Linked DNA regions of Macaca mulatta. The protein of the gene in region 1 binds, or shares a complex with, the protein of each later gene. Links are inferred from orthologs where the notes say so. Each region holds a gene or a part of one and is shown on either strand. Other genes may lie near its edges.

Region 1 (7,277 bases):
CAGTTTTTAATGACTTACATCTGATATTTATGATACATATGGCTTTTCATCCCAAATGTCAAAAGTGAAAGAAAAAAACTAGCTATTCATATGGCAACATAAGGAGACAGAATAACAATTTAATATGCAATCAAACCTCTTTTCACTTAAACTAAATGACTAGAATTTGATACATCCATGATTGGAATACTATTCTTTCCTCCACATTAAGGTGAGAAATGTTCATAAGAACTCCCAGAGGGAACTGGCTCTGGGACAAAAGGCGTTGGTGAGTAACTAAAAAAAATCTCTGATGTTCTCTTGCAACAAGCAAGTCCTTCAAAATCATCTACACAAATTGTGAAAGCTTTTCAAAGGCTTCGCAATACTTCGGCCCAGAGACTGGAAACAATCGATATGTTTTCATTGCTGTCTGGTTGCTTGTTTCAAATAAACATGTACTAACTTATTGTGTGTATAAAAAAAGAAAGAAAGGAAAACAACAACAACAACAACAAAATCAAAACCCAAAGCACCCTGATAATCCTGATAAATCAGAATCAGCTTTTCTTTTACATTAAATAAACTTGCTCTGCCTAACTGACATTGATCACAAGGGCTCCCTTCTAATCTGTGAACTCGTTCCTGCAGTGAGCTATTTATGTCTGGAGCATGCCTTTGGGTTATTTTTCCCCTAGAATCATAAATAACTTTTGGTCCGTCTGCTTATTTGCTGTTGTGCTCAAGGGTTTTATGGTGGTGAAATAAAAATGACAACCACATGCACACTATCATACATATGCAAATATGTGTAAAAAAAAGAGGGGGGGACTACAGGGGAAAACAGGGAAAGTTACTTTGTTGGAAACACCAACTGGGGAAATGAGTGGCAGATACAGTTTCACACAGTGGCGGTGGATACACATATCAAAGCCGCTCTTCCTGCACGTACTTCTGTTTGTCCCGGGACTCCCTGGACTTGGGCCGGTTCTGTCGGTTTGCCGTGGATGGGATGGAGTGAACAGAGGAGCTCTTCTTGCTGGAGGACTGCGACGAGTGGGAGGAATGGGACAGGCTGGCCCGGGACTGGCCGGCGTTGTGGTCAAACTGCATTAAGCAGAAGATCAGGTCCGTCGGCACGAGCTCAAACTCGTAGGGGGGGTTGGTGATGACATACCTGGACAGGAAAAGCAGAGATGTCACCGCCCGAGAATAACTGAGTAGAGAATTCAACCCTCCCTGAACCAAAAGCAATGGCCTGGTTACTCAGGACTTTCAGAGGATCTGGAAGATGCACTTCTAGCTGGTCCGAGGCCTTAAACATTCTTTTCCTTGTTAAATGGAAACTTCCTCTGTTTAACTCAACAAAGGAGGCCAGCCAGGAGCCCAGGCAGAGATGTGGAATTAGGGCCAGTAATGGAAGGACCAAACTTTGCTTCTCGTGGTCTACAGGTACCTTTCTATACAAGGTCAAAGTCACTTCCAAGTAGCCCAGCCGCAGGAGGTTTCATGAAGTGTGATGCAACTTTCATTCCAGAATTTTTGGACAATCCCAGATATACATCACAAGATCTTTGCTTACTATTACAGAGTGTCTCCTTAGACTATATTCTCGCTCTTTACCTTTTAAAATCTGTTTTGGTGGGAGAATTTGGAATTTGGAATTCACCACGTGGAAGAATCTAAGAACCCTGCCTACTTATCAGCACTACTTTGTTGTTCTTCACAATGAGTTGGAGCTTTCTTTGGTCAACAGCAGATGTGACTAAGATGATCACCCTGTTTCACTTAGAGCAGTGGATCACAAAGTGTGGTCCTCAGGCCACACAGCTCGGCATCACCTGCGAACTAGGAAATACAAGTTCTTAAGCAACCCCACCCAGACCTACTGAATTGGAAGTGCTGAGGATAGGTTCTGTGGTTGAACAAGCTCTGCAGGTGAGTCTCATCATGCTGGCTAAATTTTGAGAACCCACTGGTCTATAGCAATTGTTCTCAATTCTGGCTATACACAATAATCCCTGGGTATTATATATAAAATTGTTATATATTTTAAAATATATATATGATTTTTTCTTCCTTCCAGACAAGTTAAATTAGAGTAATCAGAATATTTTTTAAAAGCTCCCCAGGTGATTCTACTATGCAAGCAGGGATGAGAAACGCCTGTCTCTGCAGCACTATTGCCTAGGGTATATTATGCAAACTCACTGATCTTGGTAATTCTAGGATGTACTTTTAATTTTTGCCTGCTATGAATTTATTTTAATGCATATGAGAAAAATATAATTAGCACATCTAAACTGTTATTTTTTCTGCTTAAGGTGATAATATACAATTGTCTCAAAAATAAATATATAAAAGTTAAAAAGTGAATCAATTTAAAATATATGAAGTAAAAATACAGGATTCTAAGATATGGCAGAAGAACCACTTGTCTTAGGGCCGGGTGTGGTGACTCACACCTGTAAGCCCAGCACTTTGGGAGGCCGAGGTGGGTGGATCACTTGAGGTGAGGAGTTCGAGACCAGCCTGGCCAACGTGGTGAAGCCTTGTCTCTACTAAAAACACAAAAATTAGCTGGGTGTGGTGGTGTGTGCCTGTAATCCCAGCTACTCAGGAGGCTAAGGCAGGAGAATCGTTTGAACCCAGGAGGCAGAGGTTGCAGTGAGCCAAGATTGCGCCACTGCACTCCAGCCTGGGCAACAGAGCAAGACTCCATCTCAAAAAACAAAAAAATTATCATAAACACTAGCAATGTGAAATGATATATCTCTATATTAGATACCAACAGATGTTATCCTAGTAGCTGGAGTTTGGGAGAGATGTTTGTATTCAGACTTTTGTAATTGGGTGATGGAATTATTCTATTAATACAAAACTTGAATTCTTACCAAAATGTCTTTACATCCACTATTAGTAATTATAGAAAAATGCTTCCCATCACCTCCAAACTCAGTGCCGGATTTAATATGGGCAGGGTAATTTGCATGTTGGGGAGATGTATACAGACCTTTGCCTTTACAGTAGGGGATTATTGTTTCTGTGATTAGGTGGGAGGGCAGAGTTGAAACCAATACTCACCTCTTTGTGCACTGACTGGGGGTGCTGAGGTGGGCATCTCTCAACCGGTAAATTCCAAAACAAAGCATATTATATGTTTTCAGAGCTTTGCAGAACAGATCACCATAACAACCACCATCCTGGGAGACAGCAACAGAACAGAGAGAAACATCCTTTTTATTTGCCTGAAAATCAAGGGCCAGGAGGGAAAAGGGTCTTTTCATCAAAGCTTGTTTTGGTGTCTCCCAAGTTGGAGGGTCCATGTGCCAAGGGACGGCAGTGGAAGAAGTCCACATGGTTAACAGACTACAGACAATATGTGTGATTTTTAGGGATCAGGTAACAATGGGGCTTTCCTCTGGTGTCTCTCCAGTTTTCCACCTGTAGCAATGGGGTTTGAAAGCTCTAAGGAGATTATGCTTCTCCCTCACTTTAAGTGAAAGTGTAAAGCCTGACGGTCTCAGATGCATGCTCAGCTGAGGAGATGAACCCTTCTCTGCAAAATGGTGATGATGTTCAGCCCCAGCTCAGCTGTAACCACTGTGATAGGATCGTGTTGTCAAAACCGCCTGAGTGATAATGAAAACCACAGCGAGGAGGAGGACCCCACCAGGTCCTATGGTGACAGACTCTTTCAGGTAAGGACCCTGTGAAAAGCACAATTTACAGACCTCAGAGATGGCAAGGGTGGAAGAGAATGTGTTTCCCCAGGAGCCAGGGGCCTGCAGGCTGAATAACTGGGATTCGCAGTTCTGATCAATTCACAGCCACCTTCCCAGGGTCTGGGGCCTGATGCAGAAAGTGAAAGCAAATGCATCCACTTGGAAATGCTGGCTTCAGCAGCCAGGTGGCTTCAGGTAGATGTTAACAGTATTACATGAAGGGCACTGGGCACTGCGGGATGGCTTCACTGGGAATAAAATGACTGTCTTCGTCCTTCCAATCACTGGAATTCTCATATTGGTCTCATACTAAAGAACACAGATGGGACCAAAGCTTACCATTATCTAAAGTCTTCATCCTAATCAAGTGCATCAGTAAGTAAATGATACGTATAAAGAGCCACTAGCTATGAAACTTCCCTTTCAAAAAAAGCCTAGTCTCACATAAGTCCCAGCCCATGATCAAACTAAAATATGGGGCAAGTATGCAGAATTGTTTCAGAAAAAACAGAGACAGACCCTTTCCTTGGCTCCTTTTCCACTATTTAGTCTTTCTGGGCAACACTATTGTTTGCGTAACAGGTTTATCAGTTTCTATCAATATGGCTGCATCTCTTAAATGCATCTGTGGGGTTGAGCTGGGAATAAGGGCAAAGACACTACACTTCTGTCACAGTGCCTACGCTAGGCAGGCGCATGGAATCAGAAGGGAGATGCTGGCCACTTCTGTCACAGGGAGGACCCGAGGGAACGTGACTGGGTCCAGTCTCAGAAATTACAAGGTCTAGGTTTTGAATTACAGGCATTAAAGGATCCACATGAGATTCTGTTTGTTTGGCTGGTGGTTCTGGATACATCTGACTACTGACTACCCTGGTGCTTTGAAAACCACCAGTGCCTGGGTCATACTCACATATAAAATCTAAGAAACCTGAAGGATGAGGCTGGCCACCTCCATGTGCTACTAATGTATAGTTGGGTTGAGTATCCCTAAGCTATGCTAAGAGCCTGTGGAAATATTTCCCAACCTTGGCTGCATGCTGGAATCACCTGCTGCCTTCCACCTCGTGCAGAGGATACGTGAAGAGAACACCAAGGAGTGAGAAAGCCCACAGGCTCTGAAGCCAGGATGCCTTGGTGCAAATTCCCAATAGGTCCAGTGCTCATTCTCTCTGAGCCTCAGTTGACTTAGAAGGTGTGATACTAGAACTTACATCAAAGGGTTGCTATGAAGATTAAAATGAATGACTTATGCATAGAACGAAGTGCCTGATACAGAGTAAACCATAAATATCACCTCTTACAATTATCTACAATAGGAAGGAGAAAAGACAGATGCCTTGCTTGTCACATCTGACACCACGTTCTTCAGGATCAAGCTTTTCCCAAACAGCAAGCTCAGGTGACCATGGTGCTGCGGACTCACCCCTAAGTCTGCAAATGGCCCATCGAGCAGAGCTAACTGGGCCACGCGGCAGCGGTCCCTATTGGCCAGTGTCTGCGGGGTGCTGTAGCCACCTCTAAGGGCGTTCTCCTCAGCAATCAGAGCTTCCAGCTCCGGTGTGGCTCCTCCGGTCACCAGGGTCCGTATCAGGGTGAGGATATTGTCATTGAAGTATGTCTGGGGAAGAAGAGAAAGTGGGGGGAAAGTCCTTTAAGCAAACACCCTAAAGTCATGACAGCCGACATCCAAATTACAACTTTTCTTGGTATCTCCTGTTTAAAGTTCTGGCCTGTCTCTTCAAATAATTTTATGTGGGAAGTGAAAAGACAGCAGCCTCCAATTATTCCATTATTTTCTCTCCTGCTTGGCTCTGCCATGACAGCCTGACTTAAAAAACCCAGTTCAGGGGATTTTTAGTAAAGAGCTCAAATCTGAATAATTAGTGTTTACCATAATTGGTTTTAGTAGGGATACAAATATTGCCTCCCCCTCCTCAAGTCTACATGTCTACTATGAGACTCTGGACACATGTAATAAAATGCAGCCTGCCCCAGCTGCTAACCCAAGCGGCATTGTCTCTGAGGTCCTGTCACCCATGTGCCAGGAAGCTTCCTCCCCATGACAATGGCAAAACCTTTCATTAATGCCGCATGCTCAACAATTTATCACATGCGTTGATAACTGTCTAACCCAGAAATCTCGATCAATTAAATATGCCAGATAAATTTATGACAAGGTGAATGTCCTGGTAAGTGTACTTTGGCTTTTGTTTTCTAAAATAACCTCAGTAGTCTGAGGCAAATATCACTTATTAAAGAAGTTTCCCCCTAAGTGTACATTTGTGTCACATCTGAAACATAACAGATCTGTCAGGAACAAAACAATGGGAGTTTAAAAAAAATTAATAGGATGTCAAGTAAAGGAGCTTTAAAAGGTATTTGTCACCAGCCTAATTTGAGAAATTCTCAGGTAAGGGTGTGCATTCCATTTTCCTATGTAAGTAGAAATCAAGCAGCCTAAAAACTCAAATCAAAGTTTGCCTGTGGCTTTTGAGGATGTACTTTGGAAAGAGGTAAGGAAAGATGCAATTGTACCTCAGCAACTTATTAGAGAGTTTACCTGGCAAGGCATAGCAGGGAACAAACCAAGTAAGGGTGAGCTCAAGTTCCCATCCCAGGTTTGCTAACTAGTTCTATGTCTTAGAGGTTGCCTAGTCATTCTGGGCTCTGATTTTTCTCATCTGTAAAATAAGTGCAGTCACTAAAACCAAATTTATATTCACAGAATTCCATGAGGACTTCTGAATTAAGATGATAGTTGCTAGTGGGGCTGGATTCACATTCCTTACTGAAATACTTACAAAAACACCCCAATGTGATACAAAATTCCAACTGCAAAAGAAACTAGGAATGTTACTCATAGCCTGCCAGACCCTAAAGGAAATTTATGCTCAGGGTTAAGAGATGCCCATAGGCACAGATGCAGGAAAAGGATACTTAAAGTAGGATATGTTGCTGGAGAGGTTATGGGAACCAGGGATCCAGAGTTGGGCTGAGGGTTTTATGCTAACTTCATCTTTCAGAAGCTGTGTGACCTTGAAAGTTATTTAACATTTTTGTGCCTCCTTTCGTGATCTGTAAAATGTAATAATAGAGTGCTGCACGGCTCTATGACCTACCCATGAAGCACTTAGAAACAGGTTTGGTGCACAGGAAGCAATGATAAACATTTTGGCCTCATATCAGAGACATGAGGCCTTTGCCAACGACAGGAACAGTCAGACCCATTCCCAACCTTCCTTTGACTTTTTAATCGTTTGTTTTTTTTTTCTTTGAGGGGTGGGGAACTCAGGGCTTTAAAAGCCAAACAAGGGATTTTAAACTCAATGTGGTAGAAAATGGGAGGTCAGCCAAGTATGGTGGTGCACACCTGTAATCCCAGAACTTTGGGAGGCCAAGGTGGGAGGATCACTTGAGGTCAGGAGCTGGGACCCAGTTGGCCAATGTGGTGAAACCTAGTCTCTACTTAAAAAAAAAAAAAAAAAAAAAAAGCTAGGCATGGTGGTGGGCACCTATAATCCCAGATCCTCAGGAGGCTGAGGCCAGAGAATTGCTTGAAACTGGGCGGCA
Region 2 (6,298 bases), on another chromosome or scaffold:
GCCCCAGAGACTGCCCAGCCTGGGCCTCCCGTCCGTCCGCCCGCCCGCCCCGCTGCCTGGCGGGCAGCCCCTGCTGGACCAAGGTGCGGACCGGAGCGGCTGAGGACGGGGCAGAGCTGAGTCGGCTGGGCAGGGCCGCAGGGCGCTCCGGCAGAGGCAGGGCCCTGGGGTCTCTGAGCAGTGGGGAGCGGGGGCTAACTGGCCTCAGGCGGAGGCGCTTGGAGCAGAGACGGCAGCCCCATCCTTCCCGCAGCACTAGCCAGAGCCACAGTGGGGCCCATGGCCCCAGCTGGCTGGGTCGCCCTTCCTCGGGCGCCTGCGCTCCTCTGCAGCCTGAGCTCCACCCTCCCCTCTTCTTGCGGCACCGCCCACCCACACCCCGTCTGCCCCTTGACCCCACACGCCGGGGCTGGCCCTGCCCTCCCCCATGGCCGTCCCTGACTTCCCAGCTGGCAGCGCCTCCCAGAGGCGTTCGGGCTCCCGCCGCCTCGGGCCGCCTCCTCCAGACTCGAGAGGGCTGAGCCCCTCCTCTCCTCGTCCGGCCTGCAGCCCAGAACGGGCCTTCCCGGACGCTGGCTCGGGACTGTCTTCAACCCCGCCCTGCACCTTGGGCACGGGAGAGCGCCACCCGCCCGCCCCCGCCCTCGCTCCGGGTGCGTGACCGGCCCGCCACCTTGTACAGGACCAGCACTCCCAGGGCCCGAGCGCGTGCCTTCCCCGTGCGGCCCGTGCGCAGCCGCGCTCTGCCCCTCAGTCCCCAGGGTGCAGGCGCACATCGCCCACCCCCCACCTCCCGGTGTATGCAGTGGTGATGCCTAAAGGAATGTCACGCAGTTTTCGGTCTGTGTCGCTTGTTGACCCCGGCAGAGAGTGTAAAGGGAGGGCAAAGGCATGGGGGAAGCTTCGAGCGCTCCAGGCTGCCGCGGTCGCTCAGGCTTGGGCGGCAGCGGAGGGGCTCCCCGGGTCCGCAGGCGAGGCAGAGCCGTGGGGGTCGGGATCAGGGTTCCGGTCCGGCGGTCTCGGCGGGCGGAGGGCGGCGGTGCGGCAGCGGCGGCGGCGGCGCGCACGGCAGGCGGTGAGCCCGGAGCCTAGCACCAGGCAGGCGGCCAGGCTGACGAGGAAGGAGGCCGGCCCGAGCGCGTAGACCACGGCCAGGTCCCGCAGGGCGAGCGGCTGCGCGCAATGGCTAAACGCGGCGTCGGAAAAGGCAGTCAGGGGGCTGAGCGTCAGGCGTCCCGGCCACACGCAGAGCAGCGTCTCGGCCTCTGTGGGACACAGACAAGGGCGTGGCATCAGGCGGCAGCGGCCGCACCGCCCTGCAGACCCCAACCCGCATCCCTAACAGCTCACCTGACGCGGGCAGTGGGTGCCTGCGCAGCCAGGCGCAGAGCGGGCGCAGCGCGCACCCGCAGCCCCAGGGGTTGCCGCGCAGGTGCAGCGCGTCTAGGGCGGGCAGGCGGCCCAGCAGCCCCGGCGCGAGTGCCGCCAGCTCGTTGTCCTGCAGGCTGAGCGAGCGCAGCAGCGGGAGCGCGCCTAGCGCCGCCGGCTCCAAGCTCGCCAGTCGGTTGCCGGCCAGTGAGAGGTTGCGCAGCGCGCGCAGCGGCGCGAAGGTCCCTGGTGCCAGCGCTTCCAGCTGGTTGGCGCTCAGGTCCAGCAGCTGCAGCGCGCCCAGGCCCCAGAAGGCTCGCCCGTGCACCGAGCGTAGCCCATTCTCGCGCAGGTCCAGGCGCTGTAGCCCGCCCGCTCCCGCGAAGGCACCGGGCGGCAGCGCGCGGACGCAGTTATGGTCCAGCAGCAGCGCGCGCAGGCGCAGGCTCAGGCCTGCGGGCACGGCGGGCAGCGAGAGTGCGGAGCAGCTGGCCAGGCCGCCCGGCACGCACGTGCACACCTCGGGGCACTCCGGGGCGCCCGGGGACCCCGAGGGCGAGGCTGTGGCCGACACCTGGGCCCAGACAGGCCAAGGCGACAGCAGCAGCAGCAGCAGCAGCAACGGCCGAGGCCGCGACCAAGAAGGGCTCCGCATGGGGGCAGCCCCGGCACCCGCGGTGAGAGGCCCGCTGCCTGCGTGTCCCCGGAGCGCGTCGTCCGCGGAGCCCGTTCCTGCGGCGCCTGAACAAATATTAACTCTGGCCCGAGCGCAGACAGTTCCTGTCCCACGGCTGGATCCACGCTTGGGGCGGAGGCAAGGCAAACAGCCAACGCCCGGCACCGCCAGCCACCTGTCCCGGAGCTCCAAACTACTCTTGGCTTAGCGCCGGCCACAGCGCTATCAAGACCACCTCGCCCCGCCTTGTCCACCACCGGGCGCCCGCCGAGCCCTGAGCAGCAGGACACCGCCCACCTGCACCCACCCAGCTCACGGCTGCGACAGGCTCCCGCACGCAATGCAACCCAGAGGTCCTACTCCTCACCCGTCTCGACCCCACCCAGGCTCAGCAAAGTGATGCCAACGTGCACACGCGGAGTGGCCCCCACGCAGGGATGGTCCCGTTCCCATGGTGGATGGGGCCTGGGTTGGAGACAGGCTTTGGGATGGAGGGAGACAGCACACCCCAGGCAGGAGAGGTGTGCCTGCCCCACCCCTCCCCCTAGGACTCTCCTGGACCGTCAGAAAAACAGACCAGTGCAGTGGGGCAGCGGTATCAGCCCAAGTCCTCCTGTTAAACCCAGCGCCCTTCGGAGTTGCCAGTTTCAGGTCCTGTTCTAGGGGCTTTCCAAAGCAGGGTGTAGGGAGGAGCCAGGCTGACCAGCTGTGGTAGAGAAGGTGGAAACATTATGGGTTTGGTTTCCTGCCCTGGGGCAGAGGAACAGGGGAACCTGGTGTGGGGCCTGGGTGCCCTGCTTTGATGAGACCCATATGCGTGTGCACCCCCCATGATGCAGCCTTGAGGGGTGTGAGAGCCTGCAGGGAGGACAGTACACAATCACTAAATACACTTTAATTCCCCTCCCCCAGCTGCCCTCAGCCCTACTCAGGTGGTAGGGGCGGGGGTGGCGGCGGCTCCTCTGGAGAAGCCTCCATGGGAATGGCCACAAGGCTCTGATCCTCTAGTGGCGGCATCATGGAGACCTCCAGGTCAGCGTCCATTAGCTGGGACTCCACATATACCGGGTGCAGGTCCATGCGATTTTCCTGGACCCCAAAATTCTCCATCAACCTGCATGACAGGGGCCGGGTCAGCACAAGCTGGTGGAGTCCTGATCCTCCAGGGCAGGCCAGTGTCTGGGACAGCGCAGTCCCACAAAGGGCCTCCCCTGGGACAGCACCCCTCCTCCTCCAGGGACTCCCTTGGGATAGCTTCCTGCGCCAAGGGCCTCCCCTAAGACAGCACACCCCACCCCAGGACCTCCCTTGAGACAGCGCACCCCCCTCGAGGGCCTCCCTGGTGCTCACCTGTTGTCCACTAGTCTCGGGCATGTTTCACTGAGGGGATGAAGACCGACATGAGTCCTGGAACAGTGCTGGGCCCCCGAACCTCCCCCAACACACGCCTAGGAAACACCATTCCTACCCCAGGTGACAGCCCACCCAGGGGTAAAGGCCCCTCTTGCAAGACCGAGGGCCCAGGGCAGGCAGCCTGGCCTCACTCCCATCCACTCCCGGCCCCGGGGTTCACGCACCCCTTGGCCCGCAAGACACCAACTGCCACGATGACAAGGGCACAGAAGCAGCTGGCACTGACGCCCGCCAGCACCACAAGGAGGGCGATGAGGGCTTCGCGGCTGAGGCCAAGGCTGCATTCACAGTAGGTTCCAGCTGCAGAGACAGGGCCACATAGCCATGGGGCCGGTCACCTGCCTGTGGAGGGCCTCCAGGTCTGCCCCTGCCCTGGTGGCCACCAGAAGGACACCAGAGCTCCCGCCTTGCCTGGGAAAGGGGAGCCCTGGCTGGGAGCAGGGTGAGGGGGCAGGAGGAGGCACCTGCAGCAGGGATGAGCAGAAGAGACAAACATGTGAGGCCCAAGGGGCCGCCACGCAGGCAGGACGCAGGCTGGGGACCAGGGGCCATGTCCAGCCCTGGCCCCACTGCACACCTCTGACGGAACTATTGGAAGGCGCTGACTTCACAGTGGGACTGTGAGGTGGGGGTGGGGGGCCTCACGGTGCCAGTGTGTCATTTGCCCTTGGGCACCGCGATTCAGGGAGCCACTGACAAAAGCAGCCCTGGGAATGGGACAGGTAGGGTGGACAGAGGCCTGAGAGAATGGCCAGCTCAGGCCAGTTCTGAGGCAGAGGCAGCAATGGGGCTGGCCTGGTCTTACGGGCAGTCCTTCACAGTGGTTTCACCGTGTTCGCCAGGATGGTCTCGATCTCCTGAACTCATGATCTGCCCGCCTTGGCCTCCCAAAGTGCTGGGATTATAGGTGTGAGCCACCACGCCCGGCCAAGTCCTTCACAGTGAAAGGGGGTGGGCGGCACTCCAGGCTCTGATGTGGGTGCAGTGGCCTGGCAACCTTGGGGGGTGGGCGGTAGGCAGCCTCGGCCTCAGCTCCCTCCCAGCATAAGGACTGCGGCAGCTCAGCGTGTGGGCTGAGCCCCAGCTGGCTGCAGGTCACCTTCCTCCAGGGCCGGGGCAGGAAGGAGCCAAGGAGGGCTAAGCAGGTGGGCTTGCACTCAGCCTCCCTCACCACTGCTTCTGGGAGGGTCTGGCTCATGCCCTGGCAAAGCTCAGGTCAGAAGGGCTGCTGGCACATAAGGGAATCCCCCATCAACCTGGAAAGGTCTGGGGTACACTGGCCACCCCATCTGAGCAGGACCCCAAGCCTTGCCTCCCGGACATCCGCCATCCAAGGCTCCAGACTAAAGGCGTCACTGAAGTTGGAGCCCCAGGGGCTGTTTCCTCTGCAGAAAAGGCAAGTGTTGCCCAAGGAAGTCGACCACAGGCCAGCATGGCCAGGGTTAATTCCAGCCTCCTTCCTGAACCTGCTGTTCCAGGCTGGGAGAGAGGCCCCTGCCCTCCCGGCTTCCCCTCCTCTGAACCTGCCAAGCAAACCGCCAGGCAGCAGAAGGAAACACCTGCCCCACAGCCAACCAAGGCCAGGCCTCCTGCCAGCTCAGGACCCATGGGGCGCAGAGGGGCGGGGTGGGCACAGCCTGGCCCCAATGGACCTGGTCACCAGGGACCCCCTTGCCTGTTGACAGACACCCTCCTGCTGAGGTCCTCGGACCTCTGACTTGCTGAGTGACACCGTGACCTGACATGCACCTTTTACCCTTGTCTTCAGGACACATCCAGGGATGGAATCCACAGACACAGAACAAAAGGTGTGCCAGAGCCAGGCTGGCAGTGACACCGGACAGGCCAGCCCAACAGGTTTGTATCCTGCTTAGGACAATGGCACACCCAGCCTGGGGCCAGGTGGTGGCCATGGTCAGCGGGATCCAGGCAAGGCCACCGCCTGAGGGGAAACAGTGGGCATCAGAGCAATCGGGACCCCCCACACCAGAATTCAGGAGAGGGGTCCCTCTGTGTGACAGCAGCACAGCCAGCCTTGGAGTGAAGTGGAGCAGGTGGCAGGGCCCAGGGCTGGAAGGGAGATATAACATGGGCGGAAGCAGCCCTCCTTGGCGGGGCAGAGGCCTGATGGCCAGAGGCTGTGCATCTGACACCTGCCTAATCCCAACCACTTCCTCCTTCAAGCCCCGAGGCAAACAGAGTTCTCCAGAGTCAGGAGGGTGCAGGCATGTCCACGGAGCAGGACGGCTCAAACAGGCCAGATCTGGAGAGGTGGGAGGGTGCTGGGCGGCGGCTGCAGGAGCCCAGGACAGTGGACATGTGGGAACCAGCAAAGGTATCTGGGGACAGCAGCGGGAGCACTGAAGCCAGGCGCAGCACACAGCCTGGGAAGGTGCTGCAGCAGGAGCGGGACTCGAGGCGCCGGTTCAAAGGGCCTTTGTCCCCCGGGAGGACGGCACCATCGGGGTGGAACATGTCTGGCCTGGAAATGGCACCTCTGGGAGAGAGGCCCAGATTTTAGCAGCAGAAGAGCCCAGAGCTGGACCCTAGGGCCCTTGTTCAGCTTTGTGGCGTCTCCCTCTCCCAGTGCCAGCCTCTGGGACAGGCCTTGGGCAGCCTGCACACGCATGACCACACATGTGGGGGACATGGGGGCGACCTGCCTTTCCGAGGCACACCTGTGAGGCCAAGCTCTGCGGCCACCCTGCCCAAGTGTGGAGCAGGGGACAAGTGCCCAGTCCCTCTGGCCACCAGGGCATAGCTTTGAGCAGAGCTTTGCTGCCGGAGATGAGGTGTGTTGGCCAAGACATCATTCGCCAGTCTAAGCAATTCCAACTGAAC

The links.
Region 2: the proteins of KCNMA1 (region 1) and LRRC26 are in contact, whole or in part, in a cryo-EM structure (PDB 7YNZ), measured with the Homo sapiens proteins. The link is inferred for Macaca mulatta from reciprocal best matches to the Homo sapiens genes KCNMA1 and LRRC26. Residues at the interface, in NP_001154824.1 of Homo sapiens: Pro78, Cys79, Asp80, Ser81, Arg82, Gln84, Trp88, Ala92, Ser93, Val96, Thr97, Glu155, Trp158, Met159, Ser161, Val162, Trp165, Cys206, Leu226, Leu227, Phe229, Gly230, Leu231, Phe233, Ile234, Asp251, Phe252, Pro256, Phe259, Val260; in NP_001013675.1 of Homo sapiens: Gly204, Cys205, Gly206, Cys207, Ala208, Arg236, Leu237, Ala249, Phe250, His252, Cys253, Ala254, Gln255, Leu257, Arg260, Asp261, Leu262, Val264, Val265, Tyr266, Leu268, Gly269, Pro270, Ser272, Phe273, Ser276, Leu277, Cys280, Leu281, Leu283.

Annotation. Positions count from the first base shown.
Region 1 is NC_133414.1:72,746,694-72,753,970, reverse strand, and holds the end of KCNMA1 (calcium-activated potassium channel subunit alpha-1), read right to left. Parts: intron 5,326-7,277; coding exon 5,131-5,325; intron 3,183-5,130; coding exon 3,064-3,182; intron 1,157-3,063; coding exon 907-1,156; downstream 1-906. UniProt on the Homo sapiens protein: Potassium channel activated by both membrane depolarization or increase in cytosolic Ca(2+) that mediates export of K(+). It is also activated by the concentration of cytosolic Mg(2+).
Region 2 is NC_133420.1:5,281,445-5,287,742, reverse strand, and holds LRRC26 (leucine-rich repeat-containing protein 26), read right to left. Parts: upstream 2,969-6,298; 5' UTR 2,024-2,968; coding exon 1,351-2,023; intron 1,266-1,350; coding exon 931-1,265; 3' UTR 835-930; downstream 1-834. Other genes in the region: TMEM210 (transmembrane protein 210), read right to left, coding at 2,969-3,158, 3,395-3,424, 3,622-3,757, 3,922-4,009. UniProt on the Homo sapiens protein: Auxiliary protein of the large-conductance, voltage and calcium-activated potassium channel (BK alpha). Required for the conversion of BK alpha channels from a high-voltage to a low-voltage activated channel type in non-excitable cells.